Linked DNA regions of Alligator mississippiensis. The protein of the gene in region 1 purifies or fractionates together with the protein of each later gene. This does not show direct contact. Links are inferred from orthologs where the notes say so. Each region holds a gene or a part of one and is shown in the gene's direction. Other genes may lie near its edges.

What was found.
Region 2: the proteins of NUP133 (region 1) and SEH1L purify together in Homo sapiens (affinity purification with mass spectrometry; 4 studies listed by BioGRID and IntAct, with this or other methods). This does not show direct contact. The link is inferred for Alligator mississippiensis from reciprocal best matches to the Homo sapiens genes NUP133 and SEH1L.
Region 3: the proteins of NUP133 (region 1) and SEC13 purify together in Homo sapiens (affinity purification with mass spectrometry; 4 studies listed by BioGRID and IntAct, counting the BioPlex papers as one, with this or other methods). This does not show direct contact. The link is inferred for Alligator mississippiensis from reciprocal best matches to the Homo sapiens genes NUP133 and SEC13.
Region 4: the proteins of NUP133 (region 1) and NUP98 purify together in Homo sapiens (affinity purification with mass spectrometry; 6 studies listed by BioGRID and IntAct, with this or other methods). This does not show direct contact. The link is inferred for Alligator mississippiensis from reciprocal best matches to the Homo sapiens genes NUP133 and NUP98.

Annotation. Positions count from the first base shown.
Region 1 is NC_081824.1:149,061,610-149,069,310, forward strand, and holds the start of NUP133 (nuclear pore complex protein Nup133), read left to right. Parts: upstream 1-4,565; 5' UTR 4,566-4,676; coding exon 4,677-4,858; intron 4,859-5,013; exon of another isoform or gene 5,014-5,093; intron 5,094-7,701. UniProt on the Homo sapiens protein: Involved in poly(A)+ RNA transport. Involved in nephrogenesis.
Region 2 is NC_081826.1:97,973,384-97,981,152, forward strand, and holds the start of SEH1L (nucleoporin SEH1), read left to right. Parts: upstream 1-4,725; 5' UTR 4,726-4,795; coding exon 4,796-4,906; intron 4,907-7,769. UniProt on the Homo sapiens protein: Component of the Nup107-160 subcomplex of the nuclear pore complex (NPC). The Nup107-160 subcomplex is required for the assembly of a functional NPC.
Region 3 is NC_081835.1:15,062,996-15,070,676, forward strand, and holds the start of SEC13 (protein SEC13 homolog), read left to right. Parts: upstream 1-4,567; 5' UTR 4,568-4,673; coding exon 4,674-4,676; intron 4,677-4,751; coding exon 4,752-4,796; intron 4,797-7,681. Other genes in the region: cullin-associated NEDD8-dissociated protein 1, read right to left, coding at 715-782. UniProt on the Homo sapiens protein: Functions as a component of the nuclear pore complex (NPC) and the COPII coat. At the endoplasmic reticulum, SEC13 is involved in the biogenesis of COPII-coated vesicles.
Region 4 is NC_081824.1:481,358,980-481,366,748, reverse strand, and holds the start of NUP98 (nuclear pore complex protein Nup98-Nup96), read left to right. Parts: upstream 1-4,697; 5' UTR 4,698-4,800; intron 4,801-7,769. Other genes in the region: PGAP2 (post-GPI attachment to proteins factor 2), read right to left, coding at 369-621, 2,205-2,501. UniProt on the Homo sapiens protein: Plays a role in the nuclear pore complex (NPC) assembly and/or maintenance. NUP98 and NUP96 are involved in the bidirectional transport across the NPC. May anchor NUP153 and TPR to the NPC.

The DNA of each region.
Region 1 (7,701 bases):
AGCCTTAAGTGGCTTATTTTCTAATTTAATAATTAAGCCATTGTATGGAACTTAAAAGGAATACTAAAAATATTTCTAGATGTTAATTAATATCTATTAATCTAGGCCAGGGTTTTCAACCTTTTTTTGGTTGGTGAACCCTGGCAGCCAGTTGGGGGCTGGGGGGTGGGGTCCTGCGCACCCACCTGCGCAGTGGCAAAACCAGAAGTGCCGGTGGCGCGCAGTGGCAAAACCGGAAGCATCGGCAGCACGGAAACAAAAGCGGCCCACCCCCTGCTTCTCTGGGTCAATGCTGCATACCTCCTGGGACCTTCCCAAGTACCCCCAGGTTGACAACCCCTGATCTAGGCTTTAGATTTTCTCCTTTCCATTCTTAATTGTAAACAACAGTTGTGCCAAAAGATGGTACCAAATCTATAAGACAAAAATGTACCTTAGCAGTACTTTTGAAACTTCAGTGCTACCTACTAATTATTTTCTCTACATACCCCTTTCTCAATGATGGGCTAGACCTGGAAAACCGTTACTCATATGGATAATTATTCATCAGGGGCTCATCCAGCACTTCATCTATGTTCATAGCTTAAGCAGTCAGGCTAAAGAATTTTTTTTTTTTTTTTGTCAAGGAAATGAATGTATGAACACTGCTTTTTCACTGGTGGTTGTTTTGTAAACAGACACTTCAGCTTTGATTCAGGAGGCGGCCAGTGGCTCCGTCATGACAGGCACAGTAGCAATGTGAGTTTATAGCAGGCCCTTGTTCAGGATGGAACTGAGGGAAGCATTCATGGGGGCAAACCAGAAATGTGATGGACAAGGGAATTTTTCAGAAATATCTAATTGATATTTTAGTAAGACTCGGTGGCATTTGAATTCTTATATCCTTTAGGCACACTTGAAAAATGTACTCAGTTGGAAATGAACGGTCTATCACAGCACTTATGTTCCACTGCAGGGAGCTGTGCTGGGCACTGTGGATAGCTGCATAACCTACAGACCCTACAACTCGTGTAGGTACTGCTCTATTTGGGTCTGGCTTACTGCATACATCCAAAATAGATCTATTCTGTACAGATACACCCTTTACTGCAGTTATATACAGTTCTAGCTCTGAGGCTGGTAGGAAGACTTTAGTTCTTCTATGAAGGAAACTATTAAATATACAGTATGTCTTTAAAAACATGTGAAGTATTGCTCTCTCTGGTTCAAAAGGGAATCTTTTGAATGGTTACCCATATAAAGACTAATTCTAGTAAATTGTTAATGTATGTCTCTGCCAAACTTGATAGTGTAAGAGTGATGTTGTAGCCATGATGGTCCAGGAATTATGCAAAGAGAAAACATGTCTTAGGGTGCTGTCTTTTTATTGGACAGAATAGGACCAACAAAAGATCTTGCCCTAAGACATCCTTGCCACTGACAATCTTGATAGACTTGTTTTACCAAGGACCATTTGGTTTCATGCAGCCTTTGAGTCCACTGTAGTATGATGAAGGAAAGGAAACCAAGCAAAAACCAATGTAATGGGGGGACAGAACAGTGTATTGCAACTCCTACTGTTAAAATGAACTTGTTTGTTTATATTAACTGACTGTATTTTTTCAGCATTGCTTTCCTGGTTGTATTTTTTTTTTAGTAACTTTTTTATTATGGAATAAAATTTTATAAATAACATTTATTGTACCTGTCATCTCATGTTGGAACTGTCCTGTTTTCACAATGTGATGGGAATTTTTAGAGGTTTGTTTTTTTTTTTTAAAAACACAAGTTTCCTATTCTGCATTTTTGGAATTAATGACCCTAGTGCCTATGTCGTATTCTTCTTCAGCACCTGAAACTCAATGTGTACTGATCACTGTATGCAGAAAAAGAGGTGTAACTTGTAAATAGTTCTCTTCAGGTCTTTTTTCAAGTGTAAGCACCTTAAACTCGGGATTCTTTTTAACATGAGCCTCTCCTTTGCCGTCTTCTGATTAGCTCTTTAAGGTACCATAGCGAGAACAAGCTCTTCTAGAAACAGGAAAGAAAGGATTGTATCATATGGTCCCAAAGCTCACCTCTGCTAAAGCAGACTTATTCCAAAGGCAAAACTTGTTCAGAAATAGTCTCATAGATGCAAGGGGTACAATTAATCTCTAATAAGGATAATTTAAACAGGATCCATGTGAGAAACTCAGGATGTGAAAATGAAATTTGGTTCAGATCTCCCCTCTGCCTAATACCATTTTAAGAAGGGATTTCTGTTAACCCTCCTGCAGAACACCATGGGAGGTTGGGTACCCCTCTTACATGGCATGTTCTTTGTCCCTGGCTTTTCTCTGCATTATTATCAGCATCTCTTGTATAGAAGAGAAGTAAATGGGATTTTCCAGTGCAGTTGTGAGCCCCGTTGAGCTTGTAAGCTCTTTGAGGTTGGAATTGCCATCTTATTAGAAGTTTTTTAAGAACAATCACAATGGCACCCTAACCTAGTCAAAACCTGTATGTACTACTTTTAATCTTGATGTTTTTATGACTGCCTGGTGGCCAGGGCTTATTACTAGGGACCTACTTAATTCATGGAGGCTGCCTCTGTATTTCATGGTCTTGGCATGGCATCAGGTGCCATTTTCACAGCCGTGTATGACAGGCCCTGCCACACCTTCAATCAAGGGATCCCAGAAGTCCTGCCTCTTCTCCAAAACTGACAGATGGCTACCTGTCAATCTCCAGGGAGAGGTGGGACTTCCAGGGGAGCCCTCTGTCAATATTCCCCTCTCTCCCTTGTTCCCTCCCTACCCTGCCACCAACGCTGTGCTCCAAAACACCAGGGTTTCCTGCCCTTTTCTGTTTGCAGCCTGGGCACAGGCATGGGGAGCAGAACAGCAAGGGCTGGCGCTGCTTAGAGCCACGAAGCAGTAGGTGGGACAGCTGCAGCTGGACTCACGTCTTGGTGCTGGTACAGAGCTGCTGCCAGAAATGGAGCTAGTGGAGGCCGGCAGGGGCTGTGGTTTGGGAGTGAGGGGTAGGGGCAGGGAACTGGCATATCAGCGCTGCTCAGTGTCCCACATCCTGGTGAGCAAAGGGGGCAGGGGCAGCTCTAACTTTTCTATGACAAAAAAAACTAAAAGCAGATGCCAAAGTGTGTAGATACTTAGAATTTGTTTATTATAATGATAGAGGCACTGGGTAGGCTTCTGAATTCCTTTAAAATTGTAAATATATCAATAAAACATTGCCCAACTGATCTCTCTATATATAGTGGTATTTAATTTTAATCGTGGAGGAACATGGATTTTCGGTATTTTAATGAGAGAATTTGAGGGTTTTTTATCAGAGAATTTGCGATTTTTAGACGAGGAACACCAGGATCTCTATTGGTGAAGCAAGGGGCAGGAACTGGGCAGAGGAGCCTGCCCAGGGACAGCACTGAGGACCCAGCTGGAGGGCAGATGAGTTGGCTGACTTCCTGGCCATTTGGGGCCAGGAAGGGAAACGTTGACAGTAGGGCCACTGCAAGGACCACATCTTCTAGGTGATAGCTGTCCAAATGGCAGAGCCAGGGCACCAGAAAACATGAAAGCAGTACTGCCTAAAGGCCATATCCATGGCCCACTGGCAGCTGGCCCAGAGGTGAAGGTGGCTTTGCTGCAGTGCCCATACCATAGCCCCGGTGGCCATGCAGCTTCCGTCTAGGTCTAGCAGATGTGCCGCCATGGGGCTGCAGGTCCAAGAGGGTGGATGCTGTCGCAGGTGGCAGCAGGTCACAGCCAGGCACCAGCCCCCACTGCCAGACTGCTGCAGTGGGTAGAGGGTGCAGGGGCCACTAGGTTAGGGCTGCTTCATCACAAGGGGCTAGTGTCCTCAGGTACCAACTGGCCCCAGCCTCAGAAGCTCCTGTCTTATTTGTATCTTCCATATTAACATGGGCCTTAAGGCCCACCCAGCTAACTAATAGCCTTTGTGGAGCCAAAGGGTGAAAGATGCAACTAATTTCTTGGATAGAAATGATGTGGGGGTCAAAGGATCAAAATGTGAAAATAAGTTCTCTAGAGGGGGACCTCAGAAGCCCCTGAGGGCATGTAGCCATGAGCTGCTAGCCAGGGCCACTGCAAGCACTTGGCCTACAAGAGATGAAATGCAAAAATCTAGACCTCTTGGTTTCAAAACGATACCTTTCATTAGACCAACTGGGGACTCGCAAAAAAATATCCTTTTCTCCAACCTTTGGGCTCAAAGGCCGTTCATCAGGCTCTGGAAAAAGTATAGATCGTACATTTTGAACACTTCTACTACACATTGTACAAAAGTTGACATTATCCGAGAAATACGGTAATTATCCTACATAAGGTAACACAGCACCCCTCCCAGCCCCGCTCTGCGCATGCGCCACAGCTAACTGCGCGCCTCAAGCCTAGCCCCTACAAGCCGGCGGCCGCACACCAAGCCCCTCCCCTCCCCTCCCCTCCCCTCCCGCCCGCAGTGGTGGAACAGAAGCCCCGCCTCCTCTGGGTGGGATGCCCTGTCAGGTTGGCTATTAACGGCTCTGGAAGGGGCGTGGCTGGGCGTGATGTGAGAGCAGTGCGCGGCGCAGAGAGTGACGGCGGAAGCCCCGGCGAGTTTGGAGGCAAGCGGGTCGGAGCGCGCGCGCCCGCCCGCCCTTCCCCCGCTTATCCTAACTGCCCCCTCTGCCCACCATGTTCGCTGCTCCCCCCGCCTCTCCGCGCACACCGAGTGGCTCGGCCCGTCGGGCCCTGGGGGCCGCTGGGGGCTCCGTGTCCCGGCCGGGCGGCAGGAGAAGCCTGGCCCTGGGGACGCCGGTCGGCTCTCCCGCGCTCTTCTCCCCGGCGGGCAGGAGGAGCGGCTCCCTGTCAGCACGGTGAGTGCCCCACCCCACTCGCTGCGCGGAAACCCTTGCGCCGCCTGGGCCCCGCCCCCTGCTGCTGCCGCCGCCTCGCTTTGGCTTTGTTGCCCCTGACGCGCATGCGTGGGGTGGGCGCTTGGCTACCCGCACGTGCCGCGCCGCGAGGTCTAGAATGGCGTGAGGTAGGGGGCGTTGTGTGAGGGGAGACCTGAGAGGCCGGTCCTTGCCCGAGTCCGAAGTCAGTCAGGAGGTGGGTATCAGAGTGCCTTTGGAGAGCGACACAGGAGGGAGTGTGTTTTGTGTGTCAAGTCTTTTTTTGATGCATGTCTGTATCCCTGCCAGTGTGATAACTTTTGCTGATGCTTTAAGTGTGAAATCGGTGAAGTTTCTTTGTGGAGATACATTTTTTTTCCCCCTTATTAAAAGTGCCAAAAATGTACAACATGAGCTTGTGTGAGCCCCAGTTCCCTTCATCAGATGCTGGGAGAGGATGTGCAGAAGGCAGAGTCTTCGGGGGGAGGGGAGAAGAAACTGGGATGCAAAAGCTTTTCCTTTCTGTTCTTACACTCTGCCTCATGTGTATCCTTTCCCAGCATCTGTTGGAGGGATCTGGGGTTCACAAAACACGCACTCTCTCCCACACACCTCTCTCTGGATAGGTGTCTATATCTACCTGCATCTAGAGCAGCGTTTCTCAACCCAGGTCGCAACCCAAAAGTGGATCTCAAGAATATACAAAAGGGTTGCAAACAAACTTGAACAGTGGATCAACAAACTTTTAAAATGGATTCTTCTTTAAAAGGGAAAAACTTGGCAAACTGTGGCTTTTCCCTTGCAGGCTGGTAGAGCTCCAGCTTGCCAGGGGCTGCTTGGGCCCCCCCCCTTGCCCCACATACCCACCCCCTGACCTACACACTGTGGGGACAGGGCAGTGGGTCAGGAGTGAGAGGCACTGGGTTGGCACTGGCTATTGATGTTGACAAATGGGTCCTGGTACAAAAAAGGTTAAGAACCTCCAGAGGCCAGTTGGGAAGTGGGGGCAATCAAAGCGTGCAAAAGCAAAACCAGAAGTCTGTGGGAGCAGAAAGCCTAACTACTTTTAAGAAGTGAAGTCATTAATGTATGTATGTTGGCCTGTAAGAGTAAGGGAGTGGATTTGATGATCTAGGGCGATGGTGTTCAACTCATCTGGCCGTCTGAGTTAGGGCCTGTCTGCAGAGGCTGGATCCAGCATGTGGGACCATGTTATGGAGCTACCCATGGGCCCAGAAATTTACTGGCACGGGAGCTGCAACAGTGTTAATTGTCATGGCTCTGGGAGCTGTGGTAATTAATGCTGCTATACCACTCCCTTGTCAAATTTCCAGACCCATGAGTAGCCCCGTAGGCTGAATGACATGGCTCTGTGGGCCATATCTTGGTCACCCCTGACCTGGGGGATCCTTTTAGAGGAACAACAAATCTACTTCCCCTAATCAAAAAAAAGTTCAACTTTAATATTTATGGACTTGGGCATTGTTGATTTGTTTGCTACATAAAGGAACTAAGGTTGTATGAAAGAGGCCTATCCCTAAATTGGGGAATTTAAATAGGATAGCCTTGTTTTATATTTTCTTAAGCTTTTTAATGTTTTCTGGTGGGAGATATTTCAAGATTCTGGGGCAATAGTTTTTTAGTTGGTTCCTGAGTTTATAGCAAAGTGGGGGGAACTTTGATTCCCAGGCCAAATCTGGCCCACAGGATCTATCGCAGGGTGGGCAAAATATGGCCCACAGCCTGGATCAGGCCCGCCAGTTGATTGCATCTGGCCTGTGGCACTTGGATGGGAGACGGTGCCAAGGCATCCTGTGCCACACTCCTACTGTACTCCTGCCTGTCACATCCCCAGCCAGTGTGCACAGCTTCTTTTCAGGGCTGCTCTGGTTGTGGCTACAGCCGCCTGGGTACTGCTCAGCTCTCCCCACTTCCAGAAGCTCCTCCTCCAGCCCCTACTACACTGGTATGGGTGGCAGGCAGTCACGGGGAAGGAGTGGTGGCTGTGGGAACATGTTCCAGGCACCACACACCCAGCCAGGTAGGTGGGGAGGTGTGAGGAAGCTACAGCTGGACAACTTCTGCCTCAGCACGCAGGGCTCCAGCTCCTGGCCAGTGTTCCCTTTAAGGTGTAGCAGTCCATGAGCGCGCCGTTTCGATCCGTTCCCGAATTGGTCCCACCTCCCCCTTTCAGCACGCGCCACTTTGGTCTGCCTCAGTATAACAAAAAAAGATGATACTATAACCTTTATTTACCAAAGTGACTCCTGTCTACCTTTTTCTGTTTTCCAAACAGAATATACAGTGTCCAGGTTAACAGTCTTTCCTGATGCTAAATGAAGTTTACTTTGCATCAGCTTGTCCAGATTATCAGCTTCTAAACGATTTCTAGACTTTGTTTTTATTGTGTTCATGAGGCTAAACCCTCTCTCACAATCTGCACTAGATGCCTGGAAAGTGGCACAGATGTCAACAAGTAATGACAGTTCACTAAATTGTTCCTGTTGTAGTATGTAGGTGACCATGTCTTCAATGGTCTTTATTGCCCCAGTTTTCATCTTCTCACTAACAGTTAATTTAAAGTCCACATATTTTTTGCATAGTTTCTTCTTCAGAGTTTCTACAGATTTGTTTAGCAAGGTGCTATCTATGTCTTGTTGCCAATGCTTTCAGCACCTCGTGCCCAAAAGAGAAATCATTCCTGTTTGATGAAGAGGAAAAAGAATCCTTATAAAAAAATTGACCATTCTTTCAACTCGCCTTCTGGAAATCTGTTGTCTGTGTGGTCACATGTATGCTCAATGATTTGAATAACTGATGTAGTG
Region 2 (7,769 bases), on another chromosome or scaffold:
GCCTTCCTCAGAGGTGTTAGATGATGGCCACAGCCAAGGCTGGGGACTTTAACTGGGGATCAGTAAGGAATTTTACCCCATGATCAGATTGGTACAGATGGTGAGGGTTTTTTGCCTTCCTCTTTAGCTGGGGGTGTGGCCATTTACCTGGGACCTTTTGAGCATATTTTGACAACATTTAATAGAAGCAGGACATTGGGTGCCATGGTTCTCTTGCTTTACCTGTGGCAGGTTAGGATGTTAGGTCTATGTTGTATCAGGGTTGATGGTAGTCTTATGTAGAGTTTAGGTTACGGATTTATATAGGATGGTTTGGATAGGGATGATCCTGCCTCAGGCAGAAGGTTGGATGAGATGACCTCTGGAGGTCCCTTCCAGCCCTACTTCTCTATAACTTTATGATTCCGTTTCATCATGAGCCTCAGGTTCCCAAAGCTAATCTGCCTACATAATGACCTGGTTTACTCTATCATATCTGAGTCTAATTGCTATATAACTCTGCTTGCATTTTTGTAATGCCTTCCATCTAAGAATGTCAAAGTTCTTTACAGACCCTAATTAACTTAGTTCCTCTGTGATAAGTAAGTATTATGATTTCGGTATTATAGATTGGGAAAAGTGGAGCACAGATAAAAAGTTACATGACTTTCATTAGGGCACATAGAACAACTCTATAAATGGGAGAGAACTATTGAACAGTTATCAGTAATGGGCCACTCTTGACCCAGTACAGTAGATAGTTAATTATTGTTGTAGCTGTGTATAAAATACCTTTTCAGCACCATTACATAAAGTATAATTAGCATTAGTTGTCATAAATATATCTTTCTTTTTTTTGGAGCTAGAACTGAAGCCTATGGAATAGGTAACTGCAGACCTTGGATATCTTCACTCTGAAGAATGTGCCTAAACAAGTGAACCAGTGATTCTCAACCAAGGTGCCATACAATCCTTTTAAGGTACCACAGAATATTAGTATGTTTGGTGTGCAAACACCTACATATGATTCATAAGAGACATCAAAAGAAACAATAAAAATGCCTTTAAGTACATTAGAAGCCAAAGATATGCCAGGGAGTCATTTGGGTCTTTGGATGATCAAAATGTAAAAGGGGTGCTAAAGGATGACAGAGCCATTGATGAGAAACTAAACACATTCTTTGCATCTGTCTTCACTGTGGAAGATGTTAGAGAGATTCCCTGACCAGATCCACTCCTCTCTAGGGACAAGTCAGTGGAGCTGACTTCAGCTCTCTTAGCTACTCCCAGGTGCAGTCTTGGGTCCCTGACCCTGTCTCCACCTCTCCCAGGAGCTGGGCCCCTAGCCCTGACTCTGTCCTTCTCTGGGCTAAAGGTCCCTGACTGTGTCAGTGGCCCCCTCAGCCTTTAACCCCTACCCCTGGGAGCTCCCTCAGGCAGTGAGGTCTACAGCTGCCCCTGTGGCACTCTGCATGGGGCTGAGCTCCACCTGCTCCTGCCCAGGGTGGCCTGCACCATGCTGCTGCCCAGGGTTTGATTTACACTCTGACTCTTGATGCGGTCTGCAGTGGTGGCAGCCGTAAGCTGGAAGGAGCAGCCGCCACCGCCTGAGCTGCTTAGAAAGGTGCAGGGCAGGCTGGGAACTGTCATCTCTTATGGGGGAGCTTATGGGAGCCTCTCATCTCTTATGAGGGGGCTCTCATCTCTTATAGGAACCTAGGAGGGAGGGTGGAACCTTTTTTGTTCAATCCAAAAGTAAATATTTTGAATTACTGTTTACTTTTGAATAATTGATTATTGGTAAATTTTAAAACAAGATGTCATTAAATAAATGTTGTTATTTGTCAGCCAAAACAATTTGACAAAACATACATTAATTTGAAAATCATTTTGATGGACCTAAACAATATATTAAAAAAATGATACTTTGACTGAAAAAAATTACTTATTCACTAGTTGTTCTTTTGCTTTAAGCTTTGACTACATTAGTAGATCATGCAAACTGCAGAATAATGGCTTTTTTGACAGATGAATCACTCAATGACTGGAAACAATTCTTCTGGAAAAAATGAGGCATTGTTCTGTATAAATATAATCAACCATGTACGGTAAGAGAGAGGCGTGCTTCACAAAAAACAGCAAACAAAAATACCCATTTAGGAACAGTACTGTGAATTTAAGAACTTAGAAAACATTAAAGCTGTTTTATATTACAGAAAATGTGTAACCAGCTAGCTCTTTTGAAGAAGCAGTTCCTTAGGCTACAAGAAGTCCTACTGCCTAAACGTCCCTAGACATTGCTTTTTTCTGGTTAGCAAGTATTGGATGGTCCCAGATGAGTGCACAAATGCACAGCTTTGTTATTCTACTTTATTTTACAGTAAAACCTCTTTGTATTTCAGAAATGTGTAATTTTATTATAATATTCAACAACATTTGATTTCGTTTTAAATTACAGGATTGCAAACACCAAGCATGACCAACTTTACTTGTTTTATCATTATTTACACTGTGCATTTTTTACAGCTTACTTACTATATAGCAAATTATGAAAAATTAACTTAATTTTTTTTTGCATAAGATTGAAAAATGTGAAGTATTTTCAAAGCTATGTGATTATAGCTCTGCAATCCAGGCTGGCATCTTTTTTGAAGGCTGATTCTTACAGTACAGCTTCAACATCAAAAGCATTAAAACATCACTCCTATCTACTCATTCATTCTAGGTTTCCATTCAAAATTATCCATCCTATTTTTCAAAACTCCCTACGAATTTGCTACAAGTGATTCTCCAGGCTTGACCAAATTCCCTTCTGGAATAAGAGGGCACGACTTAATTCCTCTAATTTCTAGAAGGACGATTTGCAAATCTTCCTCTGCTGGTTAGCGTCTTTCTCTCTATTCGAACTCATACATCAAAGTGCTTCTGAGGCATCGCTTCTTGAATATTTGGCTGTCAGTGTAATATACCAAAATCTGAACTACTCATCTCTGTTCCATAAGCCTTAGCCATCTTTCATTCTCCATAGCTAGCAACAGTTTTACCATTTTTCCTGCCTAATGAGCCTTCTTCAAGGTACAGGTGTTTTAAACTTTTATTATAACACTAGCTAATTGCCCGTCAAGAATGAGGGATTTTAGAGTGTTTACATGCCCCGCCTCCTCACCCTTCAGGGCCAGCCATGTAAAGACTCCTTCTGCTGTCACTGCCTCTTCCTCCAGCCTCTGCTGCAGGGGCTCCCTCCTTCTGCCCAGTTCCCTTCCCCTCCTTTCCTCCCCGCCACCTCTCCTTCCCTGCCCACCACCGTGACCCCCTGCTGCTTCCCTTCCTTCCTTCCTTTTCCTTCCTTCCCTGCTGCCTGGCCCTAACAACAGCCACCACCATGACCCCCCCTTCACCTCCCCCCCGCCTGTCCAGGCCCACACAACCTCCCTCCCTCCCCACCCTGCTGGCTGTTGTTGAGGCCCCCTTCCCGTTCCCATCCCTCCCTTCCTCCCTCTCTGCCACCTGGCCCCAGGAGCCACCACCGTAACCCCCATCTTCACCTCCCTCAGCTTCGCTCCCCTCCCTTCCTCCCTGCCGACTGTTCTGGGGGGTGTCAGGGATGGGTGATGGCGGGGGGGAGGGTGTGCTGCCACCATCTACCCCACTTTGCCCTCAGGCAGGGAGGCATGGGGAAGCTTTCCTGCTAGGGGGCATGTTTGCCACTACCACAAACTTTGCTGGCAGTAACTCAAACATGGGCCAGCGCAGCCAATCGCCGCCTCCCCTCTCAGTGGTGCATGCAGTGCATGCAGGAATGGGGCACAGGACTTCATAGCTGTTTCAGTGTTTGTAATTAAAGTAAAGCAAATTGCTTCAAGTCCTTTTCTCTTTTTCTGTTTCTAGTGAGGGATCACATTTTCTAGGACAGGTGCTGTGGGAGGTGGGATCCTCCCCATAAGGGAACGTGCAGGAGTCACACTAGCATGAAGTAAAAGAGGGGGACCACAGGGGAATTATAAAAGGACCTCTTGAATGCATGGGTGGATCTAGGATTTTGAAAAGGGGGGTGCAGGTGGAGGGTGCAGGATTTTGAAGCAGCAGGGTACAACATCCCGTATAACACAAACACATTGTTCCTTAAGTGAAAAGGCAGCTAGAAGATCTACTAATATGTCAGAGGCCCAGTGCTGTATAAGATCGAAGCAAAAATATAACTTTATTGGAACGTATACTCATTTACTAGGTTATAAACTTAAAAAAACACAACAAACTTGCTAAAAGAGCCCCAAGATATTGTTGTATTAGCCCTGCAGCCACTAGAGCTCAGCCTACATCTCTCCTACAACCAAGTCTGGCCTTCTGGAGTGTCCTGACAGCGCACCCAGCCCTTCACGGTCAGTCGTGGCTGCCCCTGGGTTCACGTCCACCTCGGCCAAAGTTTGCAGCTAGAGTTGGGAGCAGGATGCAGCGCGGGGCGACCCGAGAGGCTTGACCAGGAGCGGTTAGTGGGCACGACGGGGGGCGGGGCTAGCGTTCTGCGAAGGGCGGGTGCGGAGGGCGAGGTGCGTCGTCTCCTCTAATCCGACACATTTTTCTTCAGGGAAAAGGATCACGGCGCCCCCGGCTGTCATGCGACACGGAAGCAGACACAAGTTGTGCTGCCAGGAGCCCGCAGCCCGAGCGGCGCCGACCTCCCGCCGCTGGGGGCGCTGTGCGGGCGGGGGAGCGGCGGCTTGGCGGGCGCACAGCGCCCCTTAACGGCCGCGGGCGGGCAGGGTAGGGCAGGGCGAGCGGTGCCGAAGGTCGGCGAGCGGGGGACTAGGCGCCGAGGATGTTTGTGGCGCGGAGCATCGCGGCGGATCACCGCGACCTCATCCACGACGTCTCTTTCGACTTCCACGGGCGGCGCATGGCGACCTGCTCCAGCGACCAGAGCGTCAAGGTGCGCGGGGAAGGGGGCGAGTCCAACCGTAATGGCGGGGGTGAACCCACCCCTCGCGCCTGCTGTGGTCTCGCCCGGCCTTGTTGGCGGCCGTTGGGCGAGTCGAGTCGAGTCGTGCTGTGCTGTGGGGGGGGGGAACCCCCTGCCCGCTCCCCCCCCCCCCCCGGCGTCTGCTGTGGTCTCGCCCGGCCCGTTGGCGGCGCGGGCGCAGGCGGGCCCTGGCCCGGCCGGCCTGCGGCAGCCACGTGGTTCCGGCGGCGGCGGGCGGGCCTGGGGCTTCCAGCGCGGGGCCGAGCCGTAGCCCTTCCCTTGGGGTGCTGCAGGAGCCATTTACGTTAGGTCCTGCGCGTGTGCGGGGCTGCGGCCGCTGCTTAGGTCTTTGGGGTTGGAGTCTCCTCACTTGCAAGTGCCGGGCCCGGAGGGAGACTGTGGCTACGGGGACGCCCCGGGGCCTGGGGCAGTCTGCCAGCCCCTTCTCCCGGCGGGGCTTGGGGGGGTCAGTGGGTGCTGGCTCCGCTCCCTGCTCCCCCTTGGAGCCCTCATGGGTAACTTTTGACCCCCCCCCCGACCCCTTTCCCGCTTCATTATTGCCCCCAGGTTTTGTCTTCCGTTGCCTTCCCCATGAAGGGAGGCTCATAGGTGTCTTTGTGGGTGTAGGCCTGCTGCAACCCCATTGCACGACATGCCAACAGCTTGGTTTTCAAGTTTCCTTTCACTAAGTGGAGCCATATCTGCCTTTCATATGCTGGTTTTATTTATTTACTTATTTTAAAAAAAGACAGGCATTGTTAGCAGGGAAGTTCCCCTAGAAGGTTGGCCTGGGCCTCTCTTTTGTTAACAAGGTAATAAGGGAGAAATTAATATATTTTAAGCAGACTGCGAAATGTACTACCTCTTCCTTTATGAGCATCTGCAGTCACAGCTGCATCTGCATATCACTTGTAAAATGTAGGTGATGAGTAGAACTGTATCACTTCAAATTAAGCTGATATAATGTAAAAGATAACATACTTAAGGAAGGTGTGACTGTCTGTGAAGGTGAAGGAGTAAGGTTTAATAATATGTTCAGGGTTTGCTGTTCATGAATGGTATAATGCTGCTTTTTATCATAGAAACTTTATGTTCAGTAAGTCTCATGCAGTCTCGCATGTGTGGTGGTATTCCATTTTTGGTCTAGTTTACTCTACAGGGTATTGTAACCTGAGAGATTGCACTGTCAAGTAGCCAACATCATAGCTAATGCTGTATCAGAGTACCATGTGAATGTAGGCTTGCAGGCAAAATTATTTCCCTTAAGTTTGCCTAGTGAGCAAGAATAGATTGCATATGCCTAGTGCACTTACTCCTTTGCTGTGATTGGTGACTTCTTCAGCCACTTATGTGAAGGTGCCACAGAGCGCGTCTACATGAGATGCTGACTACGCAGTAGCCTAGTACTTCTGGGCAGTAGTGTCATGTGGCAAAAACTGTTACGTGATGCTACTGTGCAGTAGTATCACAAAAAAGGTACTGTATTTGCCAGTGCTGCTCTGCAGAAACTGAGGTTACTGTGCATTTATCTAGTACTTGTTAGTACATGCATTAAATAAACGAGCAGTAATAACTGCGCAGTAGCATCTTGTGTAGACTGTCACAAAGATCCAGCTAGATTGCCCCCATCTTTTTTGGTATGTGAGATTACTGAGGAAAAGAGAGTGGAAGTGATTTGATCAAGGTCCTATACCCAAATGAGAGACATTGGGCGTAGAAAAAAGACTCCTAAACTGTTGATCTTGTGTTCTGACTGCAGATGTCCACAAAGGAAGAGGTAGTAAATTTCACAGTCTGTTTAGAATATATTAAGTTTTCTCTTACTTACTAACTTACACATTTTTGGAAATGTTTGAAGCAAGTCTTTGGCAAGATTTGCATCTTTTGTAGTACTGATATAACACTGTTACTTGTCTAAATCTATCTCAACCATGCAGTAGGTCCAATAAAAGATATCACCCATAAAAACGCTTGCCTCACACATGTTCTGGACTGTCATTTATTTTTACAACATTTCATATACTGTATTTATTTGATTCTAAGAAAAGGTTTCTCCCCTCATTTAACATTGGGGAGAAAGCCCCTTCACTTAAAATCAATATGAAGGCAGTGGGATATGTAGTTGCAGCTGCTCTCTGCCCTCACTGCCAGCTCTGCACTGTGCCATCTCCCCCTGAAGTTCCTTCCTCCCATGTCCCTACCCCGTGCAACTCTGCTCCTCTACCTGCCCCTTTCTTCCCCTTTCCACCCCCTTACCTATGCTTCATGCCAACAGGTTTTAGCCATGCTGCAGTTTGGGGCACTGCTGCTATGGACCTGGGCTAGGTCCGAGTTTAGGGCCTCAGGCTGGAAAGGGTCTAGAGCCTTTCAACACAGAGTAAGGATAAGGGAACAGGGAAAGCGGGGAGCAGTCTGGGGAGGGGAGAGGGGAGCAGAAGATTGGGACAGGATGGGGGAAAGGCAGGGCTAGGGCTGGGGGTGGGGTGGGAGGCCTACAGGGGGTAGAAGTGGCAATGTGGCAGGCACATGCAGGTGGCAAGCTACTTAACCTCTCCATGCAACCTGCCTCATTGCCTGCCCCCCTGCAGCAGTGGAGGGCATGAATTAAAGGCAATCCTCCAATAATTAGTTTCTCTACATGGGAATTTATAACAAATTTATAGTTTTTCCATGTAGAGAATCTGACTGTTGGGGGGTCATCTTGAATACAAGTAAATACAATATTTTTAAATGTCAGTCACTTGAAAAATGTTTCCATGTAAGTGCTGAGTTGCATTTGTAGTCACCGCATTAGGAATATTGAAATTTTACTTGTTTAGACTTGTCACCTAAA
Region 3 (7,681 bases), on another chromosome or scaffold:
GACCCGCCGAGGCGCAGCCCGGTTTATGGAAACGGGAGTCTCCTCCCTCGCTTGCTCCAAGGGCCGCGTGGCCGAGGGCAAGCGCAACTCGGGGGCATCCGAACCCCAAGCCAGGCCTGCAAGTAGGATGCCCGCCAACGGATTTGGAAACAGCGCAATGCCGGGGAAACACCACGTATCCAGGTCCACCAAGGCAGGTTTCCTCAAGCGTTCCCGGGGATACAACTGCTCTTCTGGCGTGGTTCGGTGTCGGGGCTTAAAGCACTTTATGGAAACGGGAGGCTCCTGTGGCCGCTGGGGTGAGGGCAGATGAACCCCGCGCCTCCGCGCTCGGGCCTGCACACAGCACAGCACAGCACAGCACGCCGCCCGCCCGCCCGCGGTTTGGAGATATCCGAAGCCCCACACACGGGTGGAGGATGATGCCGGCTGCGGGTCGGCACCGACTCCTGGATTTGGCCGCAACACCAAACATTTCTTTACAAAAAAAAAGTTTGGGAGACACCGAGGCGGGGGGCGGGCGGGGACAGTGGCGAACTCTCCGATTCGGCGCTCGTTTGGGCCGATTCGGCCACAGCCAGAGCCGCAAACGAGATGTAAATCGTGACATATACAACGAAAAGCAAACAAATGATATGAACAACAAGCGCCGCTTCCCCGCCGGGGCAGCGCCACGGCCCAGGCCCCCTCCCCCCGGGCCGGGCCGGGCCCTACCGAAAGTCCTTGTCGGTGGACGTCATCTTCTCCAGCAGGTTGGAGATGTGGTACGACACGTTCGTCATGTCGGCGCCGCGGCCCGCCTGGGCCCTGCGGGGATCCGCCGGCAGAAGATGGCGCCAGGCCCCGCGGCCCGGGGTCCGTGTCCGTGTCGGGCTCCCTCTCCTCTCCCCGCCGCCGCCTGTGCCCGGCTGGAAGGCGCTGGAACAGCCCGGCCGCGCCGCCAGAAATAGCCCCGCGCCGCCCGCCCGCCCGCCCGCCCCGCCCCGGCCCGGCCCCCGCCCGCCGCCGGGGACAGCCGCGCTGGCAGCCCTCAGCCTCGTCCTCAACTCCGCGCTTTAACTGGGAAAAACTCCGCCTGTTCTTGTATCCATCAGCTTAGGCTGATGAAAGAATGGCTGTTTTCCCCGTCGTGCCTAGGAGCCTTTCCAGTGACCCCTGCTTCCGCCTGCGCTGTGTCAAATGCAGCCCTTAGGACTGCTTTTTGGGACCTCCCAAACCCTGTGGCGGCAGGGGGCCCCGCAGACGAGGGTCTCCTGTGTGCGTCCGCTCGCCACCCCCTCGCTTCTTCACGGCAAAACTGCATCTTGCAGGGGGCCCCCAAACAACTGAGTCAGTAACTTTGGGAATTAACCTCCCCTGTCCTGTGGGTTTGTCTCCTCTGCTCCTCCAACAGGCCTGGGCCTCTGCGGTCTATTTGGCTGCTTCTCCACCAGCATCTTCTCTCCCGCTCCCTCGGGACAAAAAAGCCCGCTCGCCTAACCCAAACGGTCCAGCCCTGCCGGTCAAATCCTCTCCGAGAACACTGTCCACAAGGCCCAGCTTCTCCCGCAACATCTTCTCTCCCGCTCCCTCGGGACAAAACAGCCTGCTCGCCTAACCCAAACGGTCCAGCCCTGCCGGTCAAATCCTCTCCGAGAACAACACAAGGCCCATGGTAAGTTGCCAAGCAATAATGGCGTGTTCAGCAGCTCACAGGAACAACTGGTCTCAGCAACAGCATTTGTTGGGACTATTTCAAAATTTGACTCGAACGTTGCAAACTGCGCACGTGCGAATGGATCCAACCGTATGTTCTTCTCCTGGTGAGCTTTGTCCCTTCTTCCCTCCCTTTTTCCATCTACACTTCTCCTGTAAGGAACACGGGACTGGAAGGGGTCTCCCAAGCCATCGCAGGTAGCTCTTTGTCCAAAAAGCATCTGCAAGAACATCTTCTGGTGCCTCAGAGACAGAAAACACCTGATTAAAAAAAGGGAGGGGGACTAAAACATGCCACAAGAGAACAGGAGAAACACAGGCATCACCAGTGCCTCTTGGGTTATATTCAGTATATGGCACCAGAACTTATGGTGGCAAAGAACAGGCAAGCAGCCACCACTGCCGAAGTGATGGCCGTCACTGGCCAAATCGTATTAGAACTTCCATCACAAGATCGTTTTTGTGAGCAGCTCGTGGTCCCAATTTCCAAAGCATTTAATATATCCTTAAGGCTACTTTGGTCCCGTTTACAGCTCACGTTCTAAGCAGGCAACACAAACAATTAGAAGAAAAAGACAGCATTATAACTCATTTTGCACCTGTATCATGACTTGTTCCAAGTCAGTCAGGAAGTCTGTGGCAAGGGTAGGAATTAGATCCATATCTCATAAAAACCACGCCCTTGACTACAAGACCATTCTCCCTCCTTTCAGTAGCAAATCATCTGAATGATCTACAGATCTCATTGATACCACTTTATAAATGGTTATGCTTGTAAAGGGAACAGAGCCCCAATATGCAATGACAGGGCTGTAGATATGTTTGTTTTACAAACCAAAATTGGAATGGAAACTTTTCTCCATTTAAATTAAACATTAGCAAAGCTTTTTGTTTGAATGTAAATGTTTTGGAAACTCAGACATTGCATCTCTGTGCTATTGCAAAAGAATCAGAAACAGAAAGTGCCAAGCGGATTTTCTTACCCAAGCTGCAAGACACGCAGCTTGGGTAAGAAAGTCGACAAGTAGAAATAATAGCAAGAAGTATATTGCACTGTAAAATGACTTGGAAGAATATAAGCAGGAACACTGCTTTTAAATGGCAGGAATGCTGAAAAACCTATCTGTTTCCTTAAAGTCCACCTGCTACATTATCACTGTGGCTGTGCTCAGGGACCTCAGTCAGGGACCAAAACCCTGGTGTGCCAGGCCAACACTGTCCGAACATAAGGAAGTGCCTCATCGTGAAAGGACAATGAAGTTCACTTTTACCAACTGTTGTTTTGCTGAGCCCAGAGCACTTCAGAGATAGTAAGCTCAGCTCTGGGAATGCATGAGGGGGAGGATGTGATGATGATGAGGCTGCAAGGTGCACTCAGGTGGCCATAATGCATTGAGAACAAAACAGGTGCTTCTGGTTTTCTCCTACAGCAATACACTATCTCCTTCCCTATCAAGCTGTCCCAAATACAGACACACTGTCTTCTGTAAACCATGATCAGATTGCACCTGCCTTTCAATCTTTACACTGTGGCCTGTAAAGTTGCAGATTAACATTAACTCCATCCTTTTGGCTTTTAAACATCTGGGGAACATTATTAACTTTTACACTTTCATCTGAAGGTCCCAAAGCACGTCACACAGGAAAATAGACATCATTCTCCCCAGTGCACAGATAGAGAAATTGAGATGGAGAAACAAAATTACTTACCCAAGACCTCAGAGGAGCCACCTGCAGTGTCAAAACTAGAAGCATCTGGCCCCCAATCTATTGTCCTCACTGCTGTTTCCACAAAACAAGAGCAAAGGCTCTAGATTAGATCCCATCCCTTCTTGAAACAGTTCCTGAAGGCCCCATTGTTGTTGTCCGAGTTCAGCAAATTACTGCATCTTTGCACATCTCTCTGAGCCTCCCTTCTTTTAAATATCAGCTCACAACCCCTCTTAGCCCCTGAAATAGTTTCTCTCTGTTATGACTGTTTGATGAATGGATATATTCCTTGTTACCATTAGATGCCTTTTTTAAAGGATGCAAAACTGTCTTTTAGGTAATATTTTAAAGTAGATTAGTGCTTTTTTTTTTTTTACTTGCTGTTGCTCTGAGCCTTTTGGGGGAAGTCAAGTGGCTAACCATGAAGTAGTAAAAGCCCTGGGAATGCAGCTGCCACATTTGCAGACTTCTCTTCAGATTTCTGAATATGGGCTTAATACCTGTTTGCTTCTCTCTCCCAGCACCACCTCCTTCTCCCCCTTGAATGTTGTACTCTAATTTTTCTCTCCTTATTCCCAGCTTTCTGCACCTTCTTTCACAGGATGAAGTGAACCTTAGCCCCCAAAAGCTTGAGTTATATCTGCCTACCTACCTAGATATGCCTATAGCAGTGAAAGGCTAGCTTGAAATCAAACAGAAAGATTTGCACCTTATCTGTATCCATCGATCAATACTGCTATTTATACAGCAGCATTTGTGAGCGGAGGTTTGCTTGTTTTATCAGCTGCTGTGCAAGGACAGTTTGCGTGAAGTCAAGCACGGAGGTTTGCACCTTACAGACTCAAAGCAGAGATGTGCAGAGAGAGCTCTCTTCTTTACTCAGTCTGTATAGATGTCTATCTATCAAGATACCTAGCACAAGGGTTTGAGCTGAGGCTGCTTGTGCAGAATCATCACGTGCAGGAGACACCGCCAGAAACAGCTCCCGGGTGAGTCTATGGGCGCAGCACCTCCCCGCTTCTGGGCTTCACGCTCAGCCTGTGCGTCTCCACCCCAGGCGCGGGGGGCGGGCGGAACCCGGGCGCGGCCGCGCTTGTTCCCGACCGGGCCGCTTTCGCCGGCGGACCCGGGCGCTGGGGAGGACGAAGCCGGGCGCGCCCGCGCTTGTTTCCGGCCGGGACGTCTTTGCCGGCGGACCCGGGCGCTGCCACGTCTGAGCGCCGCCGCGGGAGCGGGAGGAGGAGGAGGCCGGTGTCGCCGCCGCCACCATGGTAGGCGCCGGGGCCGGGGGGGTGGTGGTGGTACATAGTCTGGTGGTCTGACCCTACCCCGCTTGTTCCCCGCAGGTGTCGGTCATCAACACCGTGGACACGTCGCACGAGGACATGATCGTGAGTGTGGCTCGGCTCGGCTTCCCGCAGGCCGGGGCAGGGGCAGGGGCCTACCATAACCCCGCTCGGGTCTCCTCATCCTCCGGGCAGGCTTTGCCCTCCCCGCCCCGCGGTGCCGCCTGCGGGCGCCTCTGGTGACAGCCGGGCTGTCGGAGCTGCCCACGAGCGCGGAGGGGCACCCTCGTGCCGGCCCGGCTGCCGCAGGGGGGTCTTCCCCTCCTCCTGCAATCATGTCAGGTTTGGCAGGGATCTTGGGGGCTCGCATGTAGGCCAGCCCCCCGCGCCGAGCAGGGCCAGCCCCAGCTGTCTCATGGAGGGTTGTGGCTCGGTTTAATCTATTTGGGGAGGTTTCCAGAACGGCAGTGTACCCGTGACACGCGACGCGAGCGTGCCCGCATGCGTCAGTTATGGATTTTGATATGTAGACTTTACGTCAGGAAGGCAAAATGCACGCGACTGTTATGTTTAAAAAACATACGGGATTACTGTACAAATCTGCTCCAGCATTTAATATTTATTTTAATGAATGGTCTATTGTTTATCTCCTGGGTGACTCTTGGCATCTCCTGGAGATTTGTCTCTAATTCCTAGAGCCTCCAGGGCAATCCTGGAGGGCTGGCTACCCTCATCGCATCCCAGCCAAGGCTTTGTTCACCTGGGTCTTAACCTCTAAGGAGAGGGACCCCACCACCTCTCTGGGTAGCCTGGTCCTGTACTTTACTACCATCTTTGTGAGAGTTTTTTCCTAATATCCAACTAAACTTTCCTTGCTACAGCTTGAGACCATCGCTCCTTAATGTCATCTGTCACCACTGAGAACAGTCCAGCTCCATCCTCTTTTGAACCCCCCTCCAGGTGGTTGAAGGCTGCTGTTAAATCTCGTCTCAGTCTTCTCTTCTCTGAACTAAATAAGCCCAGCTCCCTCAGCCTCTTCTCAGAAGTCGTGTGCCCTAGCCCCCAAACTATTTTCATTGCCCTCCACTGGACTCTCTCCAACATGTCCACATCCTTTCTGTAGTGGGGGGCACAAAACTGGACACAGTACTCCAGATGTGGCCTCACCAGTGCCCTTGTTGCTAAGAAGGCTAGCAGCATACTAGTCTACATCAGTAGGAGCATTGCCAGCTGATCGAGGGAAGTGATGATTCCCCTCTAGGGAATCATCCCTAGGTGCTGGTGAGGGCCGGAATCCAAAGCTCCACAGGCCACATTTGGCTCGCAGGCCAGAGATTGAGCATCTCTGTTCTAGATCCTTCTTTCTAATGCCTGGGACTTGCTGCTAGAAAACATGAGATAACAGTGTGCACCATTGCTGGAGGGATGAGAAAGAGGCAGATCAGTGTGTCAATTTGTGGGAAGAGGGAATAAAACAGCACTCTAAACATCGTCTTCAGATGGGCAGGTCTGTCTCTCAGTGGTCTGTACAGCTTTGCTGCCTCATATTGTAAAACCCCTTAAACTTACTTGCATGTATAACCCCTTGCCTGGTGTGGCTGTGGGAAGTCAGTGTCCCCAAACATTGCTTTAGTAAGAAGAGGGTACAAACAAGTCAGATAAATTTATGTGCGTAGGCATTAGAACACAATGTGTAATATAAGCCATGAAACCCCACACGGAAATCTGATAACAAAATTTCCCTTTTCACCAGTATAACTTAAAACCTCAACTCATCAGTCTCATACGGACCCATTGGGTTGAGGCTCTTTACCTTGTGCACAGGTAAGAGCTGTTCCAGATGGCACAAGGACTTTCAGCACTTCACAACACACTGACTACGCTAACTTCTGTGGCCTTTTAAGTGCAATTCACTGGGCGTGTCTACACGAGACACTTACAGTGGAGTAGACTAATTAGGTGCGTGGCAAATGTCTTATATCTACATGTGTGCCCCCATTAGGCTACAGGAAAGTAATAAACTCCACAGCAAAGAGTATTTACAAGCACTACCCTTTTGTGGAGTTTTTTTACTTCACAGTACTGCATGTGTAGTCTAACATGGCTGGCTGGTGCACGAGAGTGCTTCTGTGTGGGGGTTGCCTGCTGGCTAGCCCCACACTGGAGCACACTCATGGCCCAGCCGAGCCCCTCCACAACACATTGAGCTGGGTTGGAGCAGCCCCAGGCTGGCAGGCTGAACCTTTGGGCCCCCTGCCAGTTAGGGTTTCTCTGACCTGGTTAGCATGCTGGAGACTCAGGCTCACATTCAGGTGGTGTGCCCAGGAGCAATACACTCCAGTGCGATATGTACCAGAGTTTTTTGCGTGCTAACAGCATGTGTAGATGCACCCACTCTATCAGCAGTCAGGTTCTCTCCCTGCTGGTGTCTCTTCTGTGGGGAAGTTGATCCTGCTCCCAGCTGTGCTCAGACTGGGCTCCTCCACAATCTCCCTGGGGCCCCTTTAATGGTGCTGGGAGCATGTCAGGGAACAAGGCCTCTCCCATGCTCTAATTACACTGGCTCCAGGTAAAAATGGCCTCCATGTTGCAGCTCTTTTATTTTTTCCACTTCCACTCCTGTTAGCCCTCAAAACAGCAGAGGGCCATAGTTCAGACCAACTCCTTGGGTTTGGTTTTCCTAGACTTTGAGTGGCCTCACCCCACTCTGCTTATCTCTTCAAAACCCAAGGTCAGGGGTTACACAAGCATAAGTGATTGGTAACATTGTGTGGGGAGGTGGATCAAAATTTTTGTTCCCATTTGAAATATAAAGAAACCAGAACCAAGATTAAGTAATTTAGCTGAGGCCAAGAAGAGTCAGTGGCAGAGAATAGAAGCCCAGAGCCCTGACTTCTTGTCTCAAAGCACTGGGTTTGACTACTTGTGGTAATTACCTTATTACAGGGGTTTTCAACCTTTTTGGGTCACTGTACCCCAGTGACTGGATG
Region 4 (7,769 bases), about 330 Mb from region 1:
GAAATTTCATCCCAAAAGGAAACTAGTCAAGCAAAAGTTAAAACGTATGTTAGAACGGCAGCTAGAAGAGAAGACCCCACCTTACCAGCAGCAGGAGCGGGGAATTTTCATTTTCAGAAGTGCATCCCCAAAGGGATAAGATATGGTCTAGATGCAGGGACAGGAGCTAAGAAGCATCAAATTCAAACCCCATCTCTGACACCAGTGTCCTACTATGAGGCTTGACTAATTCATGCTTGCAAAATCCCTTGGTGACAGCTGCCTTCTATACAAGATCCAGATACTCTTATTATGGTGACATGAACCGCTGATTTTAAGGGAACGTGCGTGTGTGCGTGCACGTTTGCTGTGGGAAGGGAGAAACCTACCGTAATTTTCGGTTGAGGACACATATGTCAGAAGGAGGAGAGCAATGTTTTCAAGCAGGTTGAGCCCGAAGTTGAAGCGGCAGAGCCGAAGGTAGCGAGGGTGCGTGCAGTGGCAACTCTGGTAGTGGTTCCAGTACGCGATGGCCACCAAGATGCGTGGAGCCGAGTGCAGGCCGATACACAAACGCCACACATAACGCTGAGGGGTCTCACCTCCGATAGCTGCACTGATGGAGGGCAGGTAATTTGAGACCTAGGGAAGAAACAACAGTTTGTGGATCAGACATCAGGACTCTGTATTAGAAGGTCTCATTTACTGCTCTCTAAACTTTTACAGGCCAGATCCTGTCCTACCTATTAGGTGTCCAGATGGACTTAGGTGCCTAAGTGTGATGCTGTGCCACTGCTCAAATCCCTGAAAAGCTATTATACAAAAGTTGGCTTGTCCTCCTGCTTGCTGTTTTGTGTGACTTGGTCTTGAGGGGAAGAGGAAGTCGTGTTACAAACTTGGGTGCATTAAAGGTTTTTTTTCAGGTGAATGAGGATTGTGCACATAAGCACATAACAGGTGGAAGAGGATGAGTCCCTACCTTTTATAATCATAGAGAAAGACCCCCAGGTCTTCTAGTCCGACCCCCTGCTAAACCAGTGCAGCCAAATGTCAGTCTAACCTGCTGTGGAAAACGACCAGGGATAGAGACTCCACAGCCTCTCTAGGTATCTTATACAATGCTTTGCCACCCTCGTAGTGAGAAAGCTCTTTCTAATCTCTAACCTAAATTTCCCCTGCTGTAATGTGAGACCATTGCTCCTTGTCCTATCCCCTGCAGCCACAAAGAATAGTCCATCCCAATGCTCTGTAAAATCACCCTTTGAGTATCTGAAGGCTTATCACATCTGTTTTCTCCAGACTAAATAATCCCAGTGTTTCCAATTTTTCATACTGTGTTTCCCAGGCCTCTAATCGCTCGTGCTGCTCTCCACTGGATGCTTTCTGATTTGTACCCATCTTTTTTGAAATGCGGTGCCCAAAACCGGACACAATACTCCAAGGGAGGCCGCACCAACGCTGAACAGATGAGAAGTATCACTTCCCTGGACTTGCAAGAAACTATTCCATTAATATGGGCCAGTGTGCTATTGACTGTTTTTTTTCTTTTGCACCCAGAGCACACTGCTGGCTCACATTCAGATTCCAGTCCACAGTGAACCCCAAATCTTTGTCTGCAATCTGTAGCCTAGCCAGTCACTCCCCAGGCTATATCTGTACATGAGAGCCTTCCCTCCTACGTGTGGGACTTTGCACTTGTCCTTAATGGATTTCACTCGATTACTTTCAGACCATTGCTCCAGTCTATCCAGGTCATTCTGGATCCTAAATCCCTCCAAAGTTATGCAGCTCCACCTGACTTGGTGTCAGGTCCAAGGCATGAATGGAGATATCGAGTAATACCAGGCAAGCACAGACCCCTGGGAAACCCCCCTCAAAACCACCTCCCAATTAAAGTGAGTCATCAGGGGCTGCTCTTTGGAGCATGATGATCCAACCACTTATGTATCCACCTTCCAGTCTAGGTTAAACTACTGTATTTCCTTGGCTTACTAATGAGAATGAAAAATGCATAGCACAGAGGACATAATTATTCCTGTTTCACTGACGAGGAAACTGATAGAAGCAGAGAGTGATTTGTCTGAGATTACACGGCAAATCAGCAGGGGAGGCATGACACCAGATGTCCAGCCACCTACTCAAACCAGTAGACCACACCACCAATCCTAGCAGCCATACCTTTAACACACTTCCCTCTATGAGGGATTAGAGGGTCTGTAACTTACGCCACAGTGTGTAGCCGTCGTCTCCTGGAAATGGAACAGCAGAGACCAGATCACGCAGAAAAGAAACCCAAACAGCGGGCAACACACGGTCCCAACCGCCAGGGTGGTAAAGCGAAGTCGAAACAGGATCCCATCTCGATCCAGAGGCAGCGGTAACTGAAACATGTTGCTGGACCTAGAAGCAAAAAGCCAGTGTTTGACGGGTGCCCCTTCTCCCACAGGAGGACTTCCCAGCGCCGATGGCCACAGCAGATCCAAGCGATGCAAAAGGCCAAGGTGTGCAGCAAGTCGGCGCATGACCTTTCACATCCGAAACCCCAGGTTCAAACTCTGCATCGCCGGACTAAATACAAGCAACGTGAGTAACGGCTCAGATCTTCAGGCAGGTTGCAGTTTAGCTTCTGTGGGGGTTGAGGGGGGGAAGCTACAGCAGCGTTGATTCAGACAGACCCCCTAATCTAGGGGCAGGGTCAAGAACGGAGCGAGAAAGAGAGTCCCGCACGGACTAATCCGAAACGGTGCTGCACGTCAGTCGCTTCCATCACAGACAATCCTGAGAGCAACTCTCCGGATCAGGTCCGGAGGCTGCAGAGCTGGGACCCTGAACCAGCAAGGCTCGCCCGACCCTCCGGACCGTCTGGGGAAAACAGCGCAGCAGACGTTTCACAGCACGGATCCGGGCAAGTTCAGATCCTCAGCTTTTATCACCATCAGACGCTGAAATACATCAGAGGACAACGTTATCCCAGCACAATTTGAGCTACAAAAAAATTTGCCGGGTTGTGTCTAGACCCCTCTTTATTAACCAGGGTGCCTTGCCTCTCGCTCGAGCCTCGTGGCCCCCTTTTCCAGCCTGCAGACTAATATAGACTCATAGAAATCATAGAGAAGTGGGGCTGGAAGGCACCTCCAAAGAGTATGTAGTCTAACCCTCGGCCTGAGGCAGGATCATCCCAATCCAAGCCATAATCTAACCTCCTAGTAAAACTACCATCAACCCCGGCACGGCACAAGTCTGCACACCACGCACCTGCCACGAGCGAAGCAGGGCGACCACAACAGTCAGTGTCCTGCTTCTATAAAAGATAGTTAAAATACACTCGGGGCGATCCCACGAAAACGGACATTATCACAGAAAACGAGGGGGGGAAGGGACCTCCGGTCCAACCCCTTGCTCCAAGCAGGACCAGCCCCAATTATATATCATTGCAGGCTTACAAATCCCCTGACATACACAACAGAAGCAGGGGAGGCAACCAGCACGGCCCAGAAACCTGGGAAATCCCCATAGCCGAGCGCAGGCATCGCTACGCCTACTACGTTTTATCGAACCTCTCCTTGCGACGGAGCCCACAGCTTTCCGGAGAGGCGCCCGTCTATCCCGCTCCAACAACGAACACGCTGCCGCGAGATCCGACCGAAACCGAGTTTGCTGCCGCGGGGGGGCCGCGTCCTCCTCTTCGAGCTGGATTTGCCGAGAGCGCTCCCGCAAATCCCTCGGGGTCAGAGGCGGTCACGTGAAGCAGCACGGGCAGGTGTGCATCACGCATTGAACACGCGCGGGCTTGCACGGGGGGGGGGGGGGGGGGGATGACGACTCAGCGGGCATCGTGATTCGCACGCCCCGTCGTAACACCGAATCGCGCCGAATCCCAGCTCCCCCCCCCCCGTCGGCAAATGACAACCGCGCGCTCTCCCGGCGGACTTTGCTCGGAGCCGGCCTTGCCCCGGTTGCAACGCGGACACGCCGCGCCTCAAAGCACCCCCGTGCCCGTCTCCCCTCACCCCTCACACGCGCCTGGCACCAATAACCTGAAGTCTGCTCCCATTTGCACCGCTTTAATCCCCCCCCCCCACACTGCAAACGTGAGGTCACAAGATCTCCCGCACCCCCCCTGCCCCTGGGGACCCCCCCACGGGCCCCAGCACCCCTCCCAGTGCCCCCCACATGCCCCCAGTTGTCGTCAGCGCCCCCCCCCCCGGGACCCCTGAGGGAGGCGGGCGCGGGGGGGGGGACTCACGGCGCGCGGCGGCCGGGCCGGGCGGCGGGGCGGAGCCGGCGGCGCAGTCAGCCCAGCGGGCGGAGCCGGCCCGCCCCTCTGGATGCAGCTGCGCATCCCTCCCGCAAAACGGCTGCGGGGGGAGACTTCCCGTGGCGGGGTGCGGGGAGCCGCGCATGCGCACATCAACCCTGTGCCGGCGTGCGGACGTGTTTGGCGGCTCCCCCCCCCCTCACTATGGGAACCGCAGGCCGCCCCTCTGATTGGCCCCGCCCCGCCTTTCGGGCAGCGGTTCGAAAAGCCCCGGATGTCGGCTGGGCGCGAGGGGATTGCTGGGCCTTCCCCCCCTCGGCCAATCAGAACGCGACCCCGCGGCCCAATCAGCGCGGGGGAAGGCGCTCTTGCCCAATGAGAGCCGGGCAACTTCGGTTTCGAACCGCGGCGGCCAATGGGGCCGCGGCTGCAGGGCGGGCCAATGGGGCCGGGGCGGGGCGTGAGGGGAGTGTGACGCAGTTTCCCTCTCCTGCGAGGCGGCGGTAGCGGCGGCAGCGAGCGTCGTGGCGGCGGCGCTGGGCCCAGGCGCGGCCCAGGCTTCGGTAAGCGGGGCCGGGCCGCGGGGTGGAGGCCGCGCCGGGGTGTCCCCCCGCGGGCACGAGGGGCTGAGCGCGAGCGACCTGCGGGCTTTCCCCCGGCTCCGGCCGCCCGCCCGCCCCGCCGACGGCCCAGGCCTTCCGGGCGGACAGGCCGCATCCTGCTTCCTGGGCTCCATAGCAACCCCCTCCCCCGCCCGCCCTCTGACTCCTCTCCCCACCGCCCTCCTCTCCTTGTTATCCTATCTTATTTTCCTTTATTTATTTTTAGGTCTTGCCCTCATAGATTCATAGATGTTAGGGTCGGAAGGGACCTCAATAGATCATCGAGTCCGACCCCCTGCATAGGCAGGAAAGAGTGCTGGGTCTAGATGACCCCAGCTAGATACTCATCTAACCTCCTCTTGAAGACCCCCAGGGTAGGGGAGAGCACCACCTCCCTTGGGAGCCCGTTCCAGACCTTGGCCACTCGAACTGGGAAGAAGTTCTTCCTAATGTCCAATCTAAATCTGCTCTCTGCTAGCTTGTGGCCATTGTTTCTTGTAACCCCCGGGGGCGCCTTGGTGAATAAATCCTCACCAATTGCCTTCTGTGCCCCCGTGATGAACTTATAGGCAGCCACAAGGTCGCCTCTCAACCTTCTCTTGCGGAGGCTGAAAAGGTCCAGTTTCTCTAGTCTCTCCTCGTAGGGCTTGGTCTGCAGGCCCTTGACCATACGAGTTGCCCTTCTCTGGACCCTCTCCAGGTTATCCACATCCTTCTTGAAGTGTGGCGCCCAGAATTGCACACAGTACTCCAACTGCGGTCTGACCAGCGCCCGATAGAGGGGAAGTATCACCTCCCTGGACCTATTTGTCATGCATCTGCTGATGCACGATAAAGTGCCATTGGCTTTTCTGATGGCTTCGTCACACTGCCGGCTCATGTTCATCTTGGAGTCCACTAGGACTCCGAGATCCCTTTCCACTTCCGTGCCACCCAGCAGGTCATTCCCTAGGCTGTAGGTGTGCTGGACATTTTCAACGTCCACTCCGCGTGCCCGCGTTGTGAGCCATTGACTCCTGTCCCTATCCCCGTTTATTTCTTTTCATCATTATCATCATCATTATTATTATTACTATTATTATTATTAATGCGCACACAAATGTGCATATATGTGTGTGTGTGTGTATAATATATATAGAGAGAGACATATAGCCATGTATACACACACGTGTGAATCCATGAAATCACTTACGATTATAGATGAGTAGTATAGCTACATTGATGTATTTATATCGTAAACAGCGATCCTGTTGTTTTGGAAGGACTTTTTTGAGGTGACTTTAGACTTGTTGAAGGGCTCTTGGCCAGAGTCTCCCCCGGCTGCAGGGTTTTCTCGAGTCTTATCCGCTTTCTTAAAGCGTCCGAGGAAGTTTGGACAGATGTTTTCCAGGGAGGTGGGCGACGCAGCGACCTTGTTTGCTGGCGTGGTGTCGGATCGGGCATCGTAAAGTCGAAACGGGGTGTCGGTTTATAAACGTCGTTAAGTGCCGTTCGTTGCAACTCGAAACGTCATAAGTCGAGGGCTGCCTGTATGGTGAGAGGCCGTCAATAATGAACCCCTCTTGACTTTCTCTTTACCACTTAATATTTTGTAAACCTTTGTCCTGTCACCCCTCGGGTGTCTCTTCCTAAACTGAAGAGGCCTGGCCTCTTTAGTATCTCCTCCCTACCACTTATCTTTCTTGCCCTTCTCTAGACCAGTGTTTCCCAACTGCGTGTGGCACAAAAGTGTGCCATCAGAAACAAACAGGTGTGCCGCCGAACTTTGCCACGGCAATGAGTTACAATAGGCGTGAGGATGGGGGAATGTCTTAACAGGTGTGTCGCAGAAAATTTTTATTAAAGTAAGTGTGCCTTGGGCTGGAAAATGTTGGGAAACGCTGCTCTAGACCTCCTCCGGTTTTTTGGTATCTTGTTTGAGATAGGGAGACCAGAAATGGGCGCAGTATTCAAGGTGCGAATGCCCCAGGGATTTTTAAGGGAGCATCATGATACTTCCAGTTTTGTTTACAATTCCTTTCTTCGTAATCTCTAATGGTTTTGCTTGATGGCTGCTGAGCTCATGTTCTTAGTGAACTGTCACAGGTCGCTTTCCTTTGTGGCGACAGCCAAGGTGGAGCTGTCTCCTATCTAGTAGCAATGGTTCTAGAGCAGATTGCTAGAGAAGCAAGGGTTAGGTAAGAAGAGAGAGGGGAGAAACAGGGAAAGCAATAAACACCAATTATTCCTATTACATGGGGTGAGGAGTTGTCTTTATTTTTCCTAAGGGGTGGCAGTGGAGTCGTCTTCCTCTGACGTCCTGTCACCGTGCTCAAATTTGAGTCCAGAAATGGGCACGTACTATTGCGCTGCCTCGAGCTAATTTTTCACAGGAAAGAGAACTCTTGTCCAGCTCAAGCTTACTTTCAGGGGAGAAAGCCTTCAGTAGTTACCTGAGTGTAAAGCCAGTTGCTAGAGGAAATCCTCAAGGGTTGAATGCTGTTTGAGATTCCCCATCTGAATTTGCAGTCTACAGTAATAGAAGAAGCTCCTCTAATTGGATTGGAGTGAGGGGGATGGGAAATGGCTTGTAAGCCAGCTGTCAAAAGAGACCTCAAAAGTCAGTGGGTTACTTGCACCCTTCAGTAGCACAGGAAAGATGAATAAGGTTACGGAGTTAATTGCGCTATAACTACTTCTAGGAAAATACCTTGGCCATAGGAACTATTAAACTTCTGCATATCAGAACACAAATATACCTTTATCACGTGGATGTACTGCACTGTGAGGGTAGTAGTAGCCTTTGGATCTAGGAACCACGATGAATATTTTAGAATAATACCACAAATCTGTTAATGATATTTGTTTAATTTATTGGAACTTTTGAGGGCATACTTTTGTAATATAGCCTGAAGCAAGAAGTGGGTTTTTTTGTTTTGGCTTTTTTTACT